2 linked regions of the Stegostoma tigrinum genome follow. The protein of the gene in region 1 purifies or fractionates together with the protein of each later gene. This does not show direct contact. Links are inferred from orthologs where the notes say so. Each region holds a gene or a part of one and is shown in the gene's direction. Other genes may lie near its edges.

Evidence for each region.
Region 2: the proteins of abce1 (region 1) and lto1 purify together in Homo sapiens (affinity purification with mass spectrometry; 4 studies listed by BioGRID and IntAct, with this or other methods). This does not show direct contact. The link is inferred for Stegostoma tigrinum from reciprocal best matches to the Homo sapiens genes ABCE1 and LTO1.

What each region holds. Positions count from the first base shown.
Region 1 is NC_081354.1:46,099,474-46,107,237, forward strand, and holds the start of abce1 (ATP-binding cassette sub-family E member 1), read left to right. Parts: upstream 1-4,650; 5' UTR 4,651-4,839; intron 4,840-7,764. UniProt on the Homo sapiens protein: Nucleoside-triphosphatase (NTPase) involved in ribosome recycling by mediating ribosome disassembly. Able to hydrolyze ATP, GTP, UTP and CTP. Splits ribosomes into free 60S subunits and tRNA- and mRNA-bound 40S subunits.
Region 2 is NC_081370.1:61,764,233-61,771,655, reverse strand, and holds the start of lto1 (protein LTO1 homolog), read left to right. Parts: upstream 1-4,422; 5' UTR 4,423-4,470; coding exon 4,471-4,523; intron 4,524-5,009; coding exon 5,010-5,115; intron 5,116-7,423. UniProt on the Homo sapiens protein: The complex LTO1:YAE1 functions as a target specific adapter that probably recruits apo-ABCE1 to the cytosolic iron-sulfur protein assembly (CIA) complex machinery. May be required for biogenesis of the large ribosomal subunit and initiation of translation.

The sequences.
Region 1 (7,764 bases):
TGACTAACTTTAACAGTCACCTGGTGAAATTCAATTAAGAAAAGCTCAAGCAAAATGAAGGGCACATTGTGTTTAAATAGTTTGGTTGAGTTTTTTTTAAATGAGGTAACAGTGAGGGTTGAAAGGGAAGTATGGTTGATGTACAATAGACTTTCACAAGAGAGTCATAAAGTGTCATATAAACTGGTTTCTAAGTTTGAGCTCATGGTATGAAAGATACAGCAATAGTTGAGGTTAAAAAAAGGCTGAATTACAGGAAATGTGGTACTCATACAATTGACCCTGTACAATTGTTTTCCAGATTGGAAGAAGGTATACAGTGGGAATTGCCTACAACGTCAGGATCACTGTTTTTCGAAATACATAAATTGATGGCTCAGAGTACAGGTGCCATTGCAAAATTTGCCAATTACTCATTTGGAAGCATTCTGAACAGAAAAGAAGATAGTGATAAACTTCAAGAGGAAATAGTCTGATAGAATGGGTGGACTAGTGGCAGAAAATGAGACAAATAGCCCACTTGACTGCCACATCATCGACCATCTTCAACATTCACACCTACCAACCTTGGCACATCATAGCTGCATTGATCATTGTCTACAAGATGCAGAAATCCTTGAAAAACAGTTTCCAAGAGTATAAGCTTCCACCGTTTTGAAGGACATCATCTATACACAGACTAGAACACCTCCAACATTCTCCAACTCACATATCATATTTCAAAATATACAAGTGATCCTGAAATTCACAAGAACATTCTGGATATACTTGACCAAATGAAATGGAGTAGTTCAAGATGTCTCATTCATTGCATGGTCAAACAGTTTGGGACAGGCAATGAATGCTGCCTTTCAGCAACTCCCACATCCCATGAATGAAGATCTATTTTAAACAAGGCATTTCAATTTCAATAGGTCAGGTAGAAACCGAAAGAACTGCGGATGCTGTGAATCAGGAACAAAAATAAAGTTGCTGGAAAAGCTCAGCAGATCTGGCAGCATCTGTGAAGAAAAAAAAAGTTAACGTTTCGGATCCGGTGACCCTTCATCAGAACTACAGAAGGGTTAGACAATAGACAATAGGTGCTGGAGTAGGCCACTCGGCCCTTCGAGCCAGCACCACCATCCATTATGATCATGGCTGATCATCCACAATCAGTATCCTGTTCCCGCCTTATCCCCATAACCCTTGATTCCTCTATCTTTAAGAGCTCTATCTATCTCTTTCTTGAAAGTATCCAGAGACTTGGCCTCCACTACCTTCTGGGGCAGAGCATTCCATATATCCACCACTCTCTGGGTGAAGAAGTTTTTCCTCAATACTGTTCTAAATGGCCTACCCCTTATTTTTAAACTGTGTCCTCTGGTTCTGGACTCACCCATCAGCAGAAACATGCTTCCTGCCTCCACCTCCACAGTGTCCAATCCCTTAATAATCTTATACGCCTCAATCAGATCCCCTCTCATCCTCCTAAACACAAGTGTATACAAGTCCAGTCGCTCCAATCTTTCAACATATGATAGTTCTGCCATTCCAGGAATTGACCTCGTGAACCTACGCTGCACTCCCTCAATAGCAAGAATGTCCTTCCTCAAATTTGGAGACCAAAACTGCACACAATACTCCAGGTGTGGTCTCACCAGGGCCCTGTAAGGCTGCAGGAGGACCTCTCTGCTCCTATACTCAATTCCTCTTGTTATGAAGGCCAGCATGCTATTAGCTTTCTTCACTGCCTGCTGTACCTGCATGCTTGCTTTCATTGATTGATGTACAAGAACACCTAGATCTCGTTGTGCTTCCCCTTTACCTAACTTGACTCCATTGAGATAGTAATCTGCCTTCCTGTTCTTGCCACCAAAGTGTATAACCGCACATTTATCCACATTAAACTGCATCTTCCATGCATCCGTCCACTCACCTAGCCTGTCCAAGTCACCCTGTATTCTCATAACATCCTCCTCACATTTCACACTGCCACCCAACGTCGTGTCATTGGCAAATTTGCTAATATTACTTTTAATGCCTTTGTCTATATCATTAATATATATCGTAAACAGCTGCGGTCCCAGTACCGAACCTTGTGGTACCCCACTGGTCACTGCCTGCCATTCTGAAAGGGACCCGTTTATCACTACTCCTTGCTTTCTGCCAACCAGCCAATTTTCAATCCAACTCAGTATTTTGCCCCCAATACCATGTGCCCTAATTTTGTTCACCAATCTCCTATGCGGGACTTGATCAAAGGCTTTCTGAAAGTCCAGGTACACTACATCCACTGGTTCTCCCTTATCCATCTTCATAGATACATACTCAAAAAATTCCAGAAGATTAGTCAAGCACAATTTCCCCTTCGTAAATCCATGCTGACTCTGACCAATTCTGTTACTGCTATCCAAATGAGTCGTAATTTCATCTTTCCCACCACTGACATCAGGATAACCGGTCTATAATTTCCTGTTTTCTCTCTCCCTCCTTTCTTGAAAAGTAGGACAACATTTGCCACCCTCCAATCCGCAGGAACTGATCCTGAATCTACAGAACCTTGGAAGATAATTACCAACGCATCCACAATTTCTAGAGCCACCTCCTTAAGTACCCTGGGATGAAGACCATCAGGTCCCGGGGACTTATCGGCCTTCAGTCCTAACAGTCTATCCAACAACATTTCCTGCCTAATATAAATACCCTTCAGTTCGTCCATTACCCTAGGTCCTTCAGCCACTATTGCGTCTGGGAGATTGCTTGTGTCTTCCCTAGTGAAGACAGATCCAAAGTACCTATTCAACTCTTCTGCCATTTCCTTGTTCCCCATAATAAATTCACCCATTTCTGACTTCAAGGGCCCAATTTTAGTCTTAACCATTTTTTTTTCTTTTCACATACCTAAAAAAGCTTTTACTATCCTCCTTTATATTTTTGGCCAGTTTGCCTTCATAGCTCATTTTTTCCTGTGTATTGCCTTTTTAGTTATCCGCCATTGCTCTTTAAAAGCTTCCCAGTCCTCCAGCTTCCCACTCATCTTTGCTATGTTATACTTCTTTTTTATCTTTATACAGTCCATAACTTCCCTCGTCAGCAACAGCCGCCCCTGCCTCCCCTTAGGATCTTTCTTCCTCTTTGGTATGAACTGATCCTGCACCTTCTGCATTATATCCAGAAATACCTGCCATTGTTGTTCCACTGCCATCCCTGCTGGGGTACTGTACCATTGAACTTTGGCCAGCTCCCCCCTCATAGCTCCACAGTTCCCTTTATTCAACTGCAATACTGACACTTCCGATTCTCCCTTCTCCCTCTCAAACTGCAGATTAAAAGTTATCATATTATGGTCACTACCTCATAATGGCTCCTTTACTTTGAGGTCCCTGATCAAATCCGGTTCATTGCACAACACCAGATCCAGAATTGCCTCCTCCCTGGTAGGTTCCAGTACAAGCTGTTCTAAGAATCCATCTCAGAGGCACTCCACAAACTCCCTTTCTTGGGGTCCAGTACCATCCTGATTCTCCCAGTCTACCTGCATGTTGAAATCTCCCATAACAACTGTAGTGTTACCCGTTAGGATTTCAGTTCTGATGAAGGGGTCACCCGAACCGAAACGTTAACTTTTTTTTCTTCACAGATGTGCCAGACCTGCTGAGCTTTTCCAGCAACTTTGTTTTTGTTCAACAGATCAGGTGTTTTCTTTGTGGTCAAACTGTTTTAAATTATTCTTAGCAGCAAGAGAAAGCACATCATCTCATCGTTGGCAGTCCAGTAACAAACTGCCTAATAAACTGGTATAAAAACAGAACGCGTTGGAAAAAACTTGGTCAGCGCATCATCACTGAGGTTCAATACGAAACCTCCACAAGCTACTCATTGGCCTGCTCAGGCAGTTAACAAATGCACTACAACAGGTGTCAGAAAAGCCGGAACCTCCTTAGTGTTGACCTGCCTAATCCCGGGCCACTGTCCAGAAGGAATGAACACGAAGTGCAATGTTGTACTGTTGTATTCCACTCCAAATCTTCGTTACCGGAGGAGATAGAGGCGAACTTCCCACAGATAATCGTAAACGCAGGCACTGCTACCGCGGCACGGTGGTTCGTTCAGTCGTCATGCTCGGGCGAATGTCTGTGTGGAGTTTACACATTCTCCCTGTGTCTGCATGGGTTTCCTCCCACAGTCCAAAGATGTGCAGTTTAGGTGGATTGGCCATTGTGTGCCGGATTGTACAGATTAGGTGAATTGACCTGGGCAATATGCAAGGTTACAAGGGAATACGGTAGGAGGCGGAAGTGGGTTTGGGTGAGATGCTCTTCGGAGAGTTGGTGTGGAGTCGATAGGCCAAATGGTCTGCTTCCACACTGGATGGATTCAGCGATCAGTGTTAATGACCAGGAGCGTGGCAGCATTTTGACAGGTGCTTATTTTTCCGGGGGGGGGTGATATCGTTCACAATCCGAACTTCACTGTCCCCTCAATACGGTTCACTTCGAGGTATAGTCTCAGTAACCCCATACGAAGTAGTTTCACTTACCTTATTGAACCGGCAAAGATGAACTTCAAACAAGCTCTATTACGGTCCGGCTTCCTCAACATTCCAACTCCCCTCCACCGGCGCCACCGGAACACGTCAACCGTCAACGCGCTGGCGTCAGGCGCCATTGAATGTGGGCATTGCGCATGCCTGTAGGGGGCCATCTTCACCGGCTTTTTTTCACTCCTGAGGAGCACGTTTGTAGTGTGAAGCTAAAACTTGAGAGGATTTGTCACATCAGACAGACAAGAGATAATACTTATGAGGCGTTGGCTTGGGCAGTGGCTGCTACTTGCACCTTCACAGCGTCCGCTCAGGTAAAGGAGTGATCAGAGGAGTGTATTCGGTGCAAGGAAGATTTCCATGTGACTCAGGGCAGGGGTGGGGTAAGAGTTTGTGAGAGGGAGGCAGTGAGCAAGAACGTGGACATCATGCAGGCCTCGGGCTCATTGCCTTACATAGGCCGCAAACGAGTCTACCTGTTAATAATTTTTGGGCAATAAGCACAGCATTCGCTGGAGATGGCAGTGCTGTTACAGGCCTTAAATCTTAACGTTAAGGCGAGGAGAGTTGGGCAGAAGATGACGTATTTGTTAAAACAGTTGGTTTTTCACGCTAATCAAATTCTGAAGAAGTGTAGCCGTTTGAATTATATTACTCCATCATGCAATGAATCAATTAAATGCTGTAGGTGTTCAAGTTTGAAACGTATATATCACGCGCAAGTTTGAGAGGGGTTGTGGCTTTATCATTGTCTTTCATTTGTCAAAAAATTGAACTATAAATAGCATTCTGGTAAAAATTCTGTTAAGCTGCGAACTTTTGCCGTACTAAATGCACTACTCTGAAATACACTGTGATGAACGTCTCAAAACCTAAAATTGTTGTTTTCTTCATTGAGTTGTGTCTTACCTTGTTGAGATTAGTTAAAATTAGTTTTGTTTGTAGAAAATAAGGCTGAAAACCTATCACGTTTATTGAGAGGCAGAGGTTTGAAGCATTTCTTCACCTCCCTAAGGAAACATTTTTTTATATCACAGTTTGTGGGTTTGTCTGCGTTTGAGTCTAATATTGATCTTGTCGCATTAATCTGAAAAATGACTTAGTTATGCAATACTTATTAAATATTCTTCAGTTTAATGGGCATGTGTTTTGGGTTTTTTCTTAAATATTTTAGAGGTGTCACTGACAAGGCCAGGTTTTATTACTCATTACTAACTTCTCTCGAGATAGTCGGAACTGCTGACTTACTTACTTACACCACACAAACTGTGTAGATTTATGTTCAGTGTTATTAGAAAGGAACCGCTAGGATTTTGATCTGCCAAGTGATAGTGATAGTTTGAAATCTGATCATGAAAGTAAGAGGACCTCGGTGAAATGGCAATCATAATGTAAATGGTATTAATTAAACTGGAGTTCAATTTATACCTTTCAGACCAATAAAACATTTGGTTAACAAAAGCCTAATATGATAGTGCTGTCACTTTAAGTGGTTATTTTGTCCATTTTTTTGGAGAGATTATACAGCAGAAGTATTGAGCTGGCTACTGGAGACCGCTTGAGTAAACAGCTTGGCAGGCCTTTGATGTTTTGCTTTAAAATAGCCTGATTGGTATGGCCAGCTCTCTGATCCACTTTTCTGGGTTTTGATTTTGTCTGTAGCATCAGAAGCTATTGGGGTGTCAACAGAGTTGGATGCTTCAGTGACTACCTCGCTGCAACTTTCTGAATTTTCTCTTGATGTTTCTTTCTCCTGGATGGGAGAACTGCATGTGAGAATTTGTCTGAATTTTCCTTTTTTTTTGCCAAGGGGAGTGTTTGTAGAATGTTACTATGTTGGAACAGTTAATTAGTAATAGTTACTATATATTACTATTAAGTCTTCCAATAGAATTAAATTATTCTAAGTTCTTTGGTTGTATTTTAGTGACAGTGTTTAAATTGTTTTCCTTCACATTGAGTAGATTGACCAGTCTCATTTTATCTGGAACAGACACTTAGATTTGCTTTTAAAATTAAAAGAAAACTCAGGGTCTAGACTACCCTAAAATAATTTGAGGGTGTTTGGTCTGATCCATAACACCAAATGGCAATTTCCCACCAAGTCACCTGTCAGCCATCATTGTGCAGAGAATAGTTGCAACAGAGATTTTTTTTAGAAAAAGGCAGTATTTAATTCAATGTTTACTAATTAAGAAGCAATAGATATAGGATTTCCCATGATTCTTGTAGTTTACATCTTAAAGGCAGGAATTCTTTCTCTGACCTCTTCACTGAGCTTTATTCTTATTTCCCTGTTCTGTTTTGGCTGTGCCTGGGGCCCAATCTACTTGATCATTTCTTCCGAAAGCTTCTCTGCTATTCTTATTTTCACTAGTACTTGCTGAGTATTATTTTTCCCAAGGCCATAATTATCCTAAACCAAATTATTACCGCTTAAACTCACTTTTGACCACTTCCAATCTGGGCCAAGACGAACTTTGTCCTTGGGTCTTAAAATGTGTGGCTAATTGGCTGGATATGTCCGTTTGTTAATTTTCCAAAATTCCAGGGTTTCAGGAAGGATTCCAATGGACTAGAAAGTTACAAGTATAACCTTGTCAAAAAAGGGGAGGGCGGGCAGAAAAAGGGTATCTTTTATAGTCAGCTTGATAGCTTGCATATGGAAGTTAATTGTTAGAGATTGCAGCTCCACACTTCCAAAAGAAACCAGAGGTAATCAGGAAGATTTATCATGGTTTCATCAAAAGAGAATCATGTTTAGCCAATTTATTGGAGTTAATTGTAGGAATAGCATACATCGTGGATGAGGGAGAGCTTATTTGTGTAATAGACGTGGGTTTCCAAGGATCACTGCACAAAATAAAAGCCCATAATGTATCTGGTAACATATTAGCAGAGAGAAAAGGCTGACAGAAGATCATATAGAGGGTCTTTGGTAGGATGTGATGAGTGGGAGGGTTCTGCAAGAGACTCTGCTAAGGCGGCAGCTTTCACAACTTAGATCAATAAATTAGGTGAAAGGAGTGAAAGGTATGGTAACTAAAGTCACACAACAATTGATAGGAAAGAATATTGTGAAGAAACCTTAGAATTTGCGGACAAATAATTGGAGAGTGGCAAAAATCTAGTTATTAGAAGATAATGTGATTAAAATGTGAGTTGTCAGCGAGTCGATCTAGATGTAATGATACATAAGTCACAAAGAAAAGTGACAATATTTGAGATATTGTTACATG
Region 2 (7,423 bases), on another chromosome or scaffold:
GAGTCCGCGCTGGGCTTAACCTCGAGGCTAGGAGTCTGTGCTGGGCTCCACCTTGGGGCTGGGAGTCCGCGCTGGGCTCCACCTCGAGGCTGGGAGTCTGCGTTGGGCTTCAACTTGGGTCTTGGAATCTGTGCTGGGCTCCACCTCAGGGCTTGGAGTCCATGCTGGGCTTCACTTTGAGTCTGGTTGTCCACGCTGGGCTTCACCTCAAGGCTGGGAGTCTGTGCTGGGCTTCATCTTGAGGCTGGGTGTCTATGCTGGGCTCCACCTCGAGGCCGGGAGTCCGTGCTGGGCTTCACCTCGAGACTGGGAGTCCGGGCTGGGCTTCACCTCGAGGCTGGGAGTCCGTGCTGGGCTTCACCTTGAGGCTGGGAGCCTACGCTGGGCTTCATCTTGAGACTGGGAATCTGTGCTGGGCTTCACTTTGAGGCTGGGAGTCTGCGCTGGGTTTCACCTCGAGGTTGGGAGCCCACGCTGAGCTTCACTTCAGGGCTGGGAGTCCGTGCTGGGCTTCACCTCAGGGCTGGGAGTCCGCGCTGGGCTTCACCTCGGGGCTGGGAGTCTGCGCTGGGCTTCACCTCGGGGCTGGGAGTCCGTGCTGGGCTTCACTTCGGGGCTGGGAGTCTTCATTGGGCTACACCTCGAGGCGAGAAGTCCACGCTGGGCTTCACCTTGAGGCTGGGAGTCCGCGCTGAGCTTCATTCCAGGGCTGGGAATCTGTGCTGGGCTTCATCTTGAGGCTGGGAGTCCGTGCTGGGCTTCATCTCGAGGCTGGGAGTCCGTGCTGGGCTTAATGTCGAGACTGGGCTGGCTAGAAAGGGGAAAACAAAATGAGGAACTCTAGGTCAGGAGCCCTACAGATCCGCCACCCTGGAAGGAAGATTGGTATTACTGCATACAATTCTGGTCATCCTGGTATGGGGAAGGATATTATTAAATTGGTAATGTGTGAAAAAGATTTATAAGGATATACTGAGACTGGAAGGTTTGAGTTTAAGGGAGGCTGCATAGGCTGGGAGTTTCTCCCTTGAAGCATAGGAGACTGAGGGGTGACCTTATTGATGTTTATAGCGTTATGAGGGGTATGGATAAGGTGAATAGCCAAGGTCTTTTTTTCCCCAGGTTAGGAGAGTTTAAAACTAGAGGACATAGGTATAAGGTGAGAAGGGTAAGATTTTACAAGTGGCCTGAGGGCAACGTTTACACACGGAGGGTGGTGTATATATAGAATGAACTGCCAGAGGATGTGGCAGAGGCTGGTACAATTACAACATTTAAAAGATATTTGGACAGACATGAATAGGAAAAGTATAGAGGGATACGGGCCAAATGGCACTAGTTCTGTCTGGGAAATGTGTCAATTAATGTCGTGTCTGGGCTGGCTAGAAAGGGGAAAACAAAATGAAAGGCAATCAAAGAAACAAAGAAACCTACAGCACAGGAGCAGGCCCTTCGGCCCTCCAAGCCTGCTCCGATCAAGATCCTCTGTCTAACCTGTCATCTATTTTCTAACGGTCTGTGTCCATTTGCTCCCTGCTCATCCATGTACCTGTCCAAATATACCTTAAAAGACACTAACGTGTCTGCGTCTACCACCTCCGCTGGGAACGCGTTCCAGGCACCCACCACCCTCTGTGTAAAGAACTTTCCACGTATATCTCCCTTAAACTTTCCTCCTCTCACTTTGAACTCATGACCCCTAGTAATTGAATCCCCCACTCTGGGACAAAGCTTCTTGCTATCCACCCTGTCTATACCCTTCATGATTTTGTCGACCAATGGAAGTCAATGGCCTAGAGGTATTATTGCTGAACTGCTAATTCAGAGACACATTATGTTCTGGGGGGCTGGGTTTGAATCCTGACACAGCAGATTGTGGAATTTGAATTCAATAAATATCTAGAATAAAGAACCTAATCGTGACTGTGAACACATTGTTGATTGTCAGGAAAACCCCATTTGGTTCACTAATGCCCTTTAGAACATAGAACATAGAACAGAGAACAATACAGCACAGAACAGGCCCTTCGTCCCTCGATGTTGCGCCGACCTGTGAACTAATCTAAGCCCATCCCCCTACACTATCCCATCATCATCCATCTGCTTATCCAAGGACTGTTTAAATGCCCCTAATGTGGCTGAGTTAACTACATTGGCAGGCAGGGCGTTCCACACCCTTACCACTCTCTGAGTAAAGAACCTGCCTCTGACATCTGTCTTAAATCTATCACCCCTCAATTTGTAGCTATGCCCCCTTGTACAAGCTGATGTCATCATCCTCGGAAAAAGGCTCTCACTGTCCACCCTACCTAATCCTCTGATTATCTTGTATGTCTCTATTAAATCCCCTCTTAGCCTCCTTCACTCCAATGAGAACAGACCCAAGTCCCTCAGCCTTTCTTCATAAGGCATTCGCTCCAGACCAGGCAACATCCTCGTAAATCTTCTCTGCACCTTTTCCAATGCTTCCACATCCTTCCTGTAAAGGGGCGACCAGCACTGCATGCAATATTCCAAATGAGGCCGCACTAGCGTTTTGTACAGTTGCAGCATGACATCTTGGCTCCGGAACTCAATCCCTCTACCAATTCTAGTAGTCCATAACTCAGTCGTCTCCCTCTACCGTAAACCTTCTTAACAGCACTATCAACCCGGGTGGCAACTTTCATGGATCTATGTACATGGATACCAAGATCCCTCTGCACATCCACACAACCAAGAATCTTTCCACTGACCCAGTATTCTGCCTTCCTTTTATTCTTCCCAAAGTGAATCACCTCACATTTATCCACATTGAACTCCATTTTCCACCTTTCAGCCCAATTCTGCAGTTTATCCGAGTCTCCCTGCGACCTGCAACATTCTTCCACACTGTCCACCACTCCACTGACTTTAGTGTCATCTGCAAACTTACTAACCCATCCACTTATGCCTGCGTCCAAGTCATTTATAAAAATGACAAGCAGCAGTGGTCCCACAACAGATCCTTAAGGCATACCACTAGTAACCTGACTCTAGGCTGAATATTTTCCATCAACCACCACTCGTTGCCTTCTTACAGAAAGCCAGTTTCTAATCCAAACTGCTAAATCTCCTCAGTCCCGTGCCTCTGTATTTTCTCCATTAGCCTACCATGTAGAACCTTATCAAAGGCTTTACTGAAGTCCATGTACACCACGTCAACTGCCCTACCCTCATCCACATGCTTGGTCACCTTCTCAAAAAACTCAGTGAGGTTTGTGAGACACGACCTGCCCTTGACGAATCCATGCTGACTATCTCCAATCAAATTGTTGCTTGCTAGATGATTATGAATCCTATCTCTTATAATCCTTTCCAAAACTTTTCCTACAACAGACGTAAGGCTCACAGGTCTTTAATTACCTGGGTCATCTCTACTGCCCTTCTTGAACATGGGCACAACATTTGCAATCCTCCAGTCCTCTGGTACTAAACCTGTAGACAATGAGGACTCAAGGATCAAGGCCAAAGGCTCCGCCACCTCCTCCCTGGCTTCCCAGAGAATCCTTAGAAAAATACCCTCCAGCCCAGGGGATTTATCTACCTTCACACCTTCTCGAATTGATAACACCTCCTCCTTACTAACCTCAATCCTTTCAATTCTAGTAGTCCATAACTCAGTCGTCTCCTCTACAATATTCTCCTGTTCCTCAGTGAAAACAGATGAGAAATAATCATTTAGCACCTCTCCGATCTCCACAGGGTTCACACACAACTTCCCACTTCGGCCTTTAACTGGCCCTATTCCTACCATAGTCATCCTCTTACTCCTCACATACCTATAGAAAGCTTTAGGGTTCTCCTTTATTCTACCTGCCGATGTCTGCTCATGTCCCCTCCTTGCTCTTCTTAACTCTCTCTTTAAATTCTTCCAAGCTAATCTGTAACTCTCCATCGCCACATCTGAACCATCTCGTCTCATCGTCACATAAGCCTCCCTCTTCTGCTTAACAAGAGATACAATTTCTTTAGTAGTCAATTTCCTTAGGGATGATAACTACCATCCTTACCTGGTCTGGCCTATTTGTGACTCAAAACCCACAGCAATGTCGTTGACTCTTGACTGCCCTCTGGGCAAATAGGAATGGGCCTAGCCAGTCACGCCCTCATCCTGTGAATGTATAAAGGGGGAAAATGTTGGGCTGAAGGGTCTCTTTCTGGGCTGTATGACTCCAAATTCTGTATGATTCCAGTTTCAGCTGATGTTGTAAAGCAGGGACTGTCTCAGATATTTTCTAATCAGCCTGCTCAGAGATGTTATTGCACACCTGAGCAGTAGGTGGGACTGGAACTCAGGCCTCCTGCCTCAGAGGCAGGGACACCACCGCTGCGCATTTAGAATTGCAGTGGGGTCCTGTTTAAAAAGTGGGTCGTGGGCCCTTTAAGATGATTTCACGGAAACTGCGCGGGCGCAGCGCCGGGCCCGGGCGCGCATGCGCTTCTCTTCCAATGGCGGATCCCGGCGGCGATTTGTTCGACAGCATCGTTCTGGCGGAGGATCGGTAATAAACTCCCTAAACAGCCCCCCACCCCACAAAAAAAAATCACCCCGCCTCAAAAATACCCCAAATAATACCCTGTCCCTGAATGTACCGTCATGAACAGCCACCCCCCGGTCTGGTGGTGTATCAGTAATAAACACGCCCCTCAGTATACCCCCTGAATAAACACCTCCCCCCAGACATTCCTGTAAACGTACCCCCGAATAATAGCCCCCACCCACACAGACAGCATCGCCCTGGTGATTGAATGGTAACTGCTACCCCCTCTGCACCCAATAACCTCCTTTTGTGCTCCTGAGATGCTGCTTGGCCTGCTGTGTTCATCCAGCCTCACATTTTATTATCTTGGAATCTCCAGCATCTGCAGTTCCCATTATCTCTGATACTATTTTAACCTCCCACCACCCCCTCTTTTGCTGGCCACCCCAAATTCTTTTCTAAGGTTGATTGCATCTCTCCTTGTTGAATTTTTCGTGTGGTTGGCAGATTTCGTGGGGAAGGTTATCAGGAAGGGTTTACAGAAGGAAGTCATTTGGGAGAAACTGAGGGACGACGCTATGGCTCGGCAAATGGTGCTAAGATTGGATCAGAGGTAAGCTGTGAGTACAGTTGTACAGCAGTCATAGGGTTTAGCATGTTAAAGCAGTCTGTATTGTACACAGTTAAACATGAGGGAATACATTGTTGCGTAGGAGCTTGCTGTGAAAATTCATTCTAAAAATTCTGGAATGCAATAATGATTATGTTTCAAAAGTACTTAACTGGGTGTAAAGTGCTTTTGGTATGCCCTGAAAGATGCTAGATAAATACAGTTCCCATCAAGACCTCCCTTCCAGAAGGACCTGACTCGTACTGAGATGTTATTACACAGTCTTCGAGTGCCTCCTGTTCGTCTCTCAAGAACACATTTTACATGAGTAATCCTGGAAAGTGGGGTTCTATTGAAAATGCAGAATTGTGAAACAGTGACATAAATGAGTAAAGACGGTTCTCCATAATGCATTTGTTGATCATTGTTTTCAGTTCTTTGCTTTGAATATTTTTGTAATATATCCCAAACTTGGCCCTGTTTGTTGCCATCGTAGCAAATGTTTGGAATTGAATTTTTATATAACTATTAACTGACTCTCTTCCTTAAAACATATTATAGTGAGTGGTTTTTGGCGGTGTTCTACACATCTGTTTGATTTGCATCACTAATTCTCAAGTGAAGCCAAAATCTTGGAGGGAGTTCAAGAAATTGCTTTGGCACATGGAATCAACCATGACCTAGCTGAATAGCGAAAATGGCTCAAATGGGTTGACAGATCTACTCTTGTTCCTTTTGAGGTCACTTGTTGTGGTGTTATTACTTCCAGCACAAATCTAAATTTCATATCTGGATCAGCTGGAAAACTACCAGACACAAATCTAAAAGTGTAAATGCTCTTTGACTTTCAAGGATCTGCAACTTTTATTTAGAAAACTTAAAACAAGATACTTCAGAATCTGGAATAACTGGAGAAACCCAGCAGGTCTGGCAGTGTCTGTGGAGAAAGAAACTGAGTTAACATTTGATACGTTAAGTTTGATATGACTGTTCACAATATTTCCTTTGGGACAGATCTTAACATTTGTACTGGACTTGAAACGCTGACTCGGTTTCTCTTTCTACAAATGCTGACATGCTGAGTTGCAGCAGCGCTTTGTTTTCATTTGTATTTATAAAACACCTTTAAAATAGTGAGTCTGAAGACACTTTGCAGGGGCATTATTTAATATTGAGCCTCATAAGGAGATATTAAGGCAACTGACAAAAAGTTTGGTCAAAGAGATATGTTTCAAGGAGTGGTTTAAAAGAGTTTTCTGAGGGAACTCCAGCACTTAGGACCTTAAGGCTAAGATCCTAGTGCAGTTTAATTAAAATCAAAATGCTGGAGTGGCCAGAAGTGGCAAAGCACCAATATGGTAGACAACTGTGGGCCTTGAGGAAATTTTAAGATGGGTTTGAGGGTGGGGGAAGGTGATGCAAGGCTCTGAAACAAAAACTATGATTTTTAAAATGGGTTTGTAATGTAAGTCAGTGAGGACATGGTAATGAATGAAAATGATTCTATGTATGTTAGGAGTAGGGCAGCAGAGTTTTGGGTGACCTTCAGTTTATGGAGGATAGAATATTGAGTGCTAGCCAGGATGTGGTGCAACAGTCTTGAAATAACACTGGAAGTGATGAGGCTTTCATCAGCAGATGAGCAGAGACAGGGCAGAGTTAGACAGTGTCACAATAATGGAACTATGCATTCTCAAGTAATGTTGTAGACAGAGTCATATGTCCCACCAAGGTTGTAAATGATCTGGTTTGGCCTCGGACAGTTGTCAGGGAGAAGGGTAGAGGTGGTGGAAAGGTAGTGTTTCATTATTATTCGTTTCAGAGGAATTGTTTCAGTGACGTTGACTAATAATAGATTATAATCTGAGGTTGACATTTTTGGGAAATTTGACCTGGTAGGTGCGGGAAAGTTTGTTTCCCCTTGCGAGAGAGTTTAGGACTGGGGCAGAATCTCAGAACAAGGGGTTGCCAATTAGGACAGATGAGGAATATCTTGTCTCAGAGGATAGTGAATGTGTGGAATTCTTTACCATAGAGGACTGCAAGGCTGCATTATTAAGTATATTCCAGGCTGAGGCAGATTTTTAATCAGTGAAGGAACCAAGGACCATGGGAAAAGGGTTGGAAAGTGGAGTTGAGGATTATCAGATTAACCATGATCTCATTGAATGTTTGAATGGCCGGTCTCTAATCCCATGTGTTATAGGTTTATTTACTGATAAAGAATACTCAAGTCATTGTAAAACTTGTATAATTTTGGATCTGTACAGGAGCAATGTATTCAGAATAGTGTATTGTGTTACAGGATACC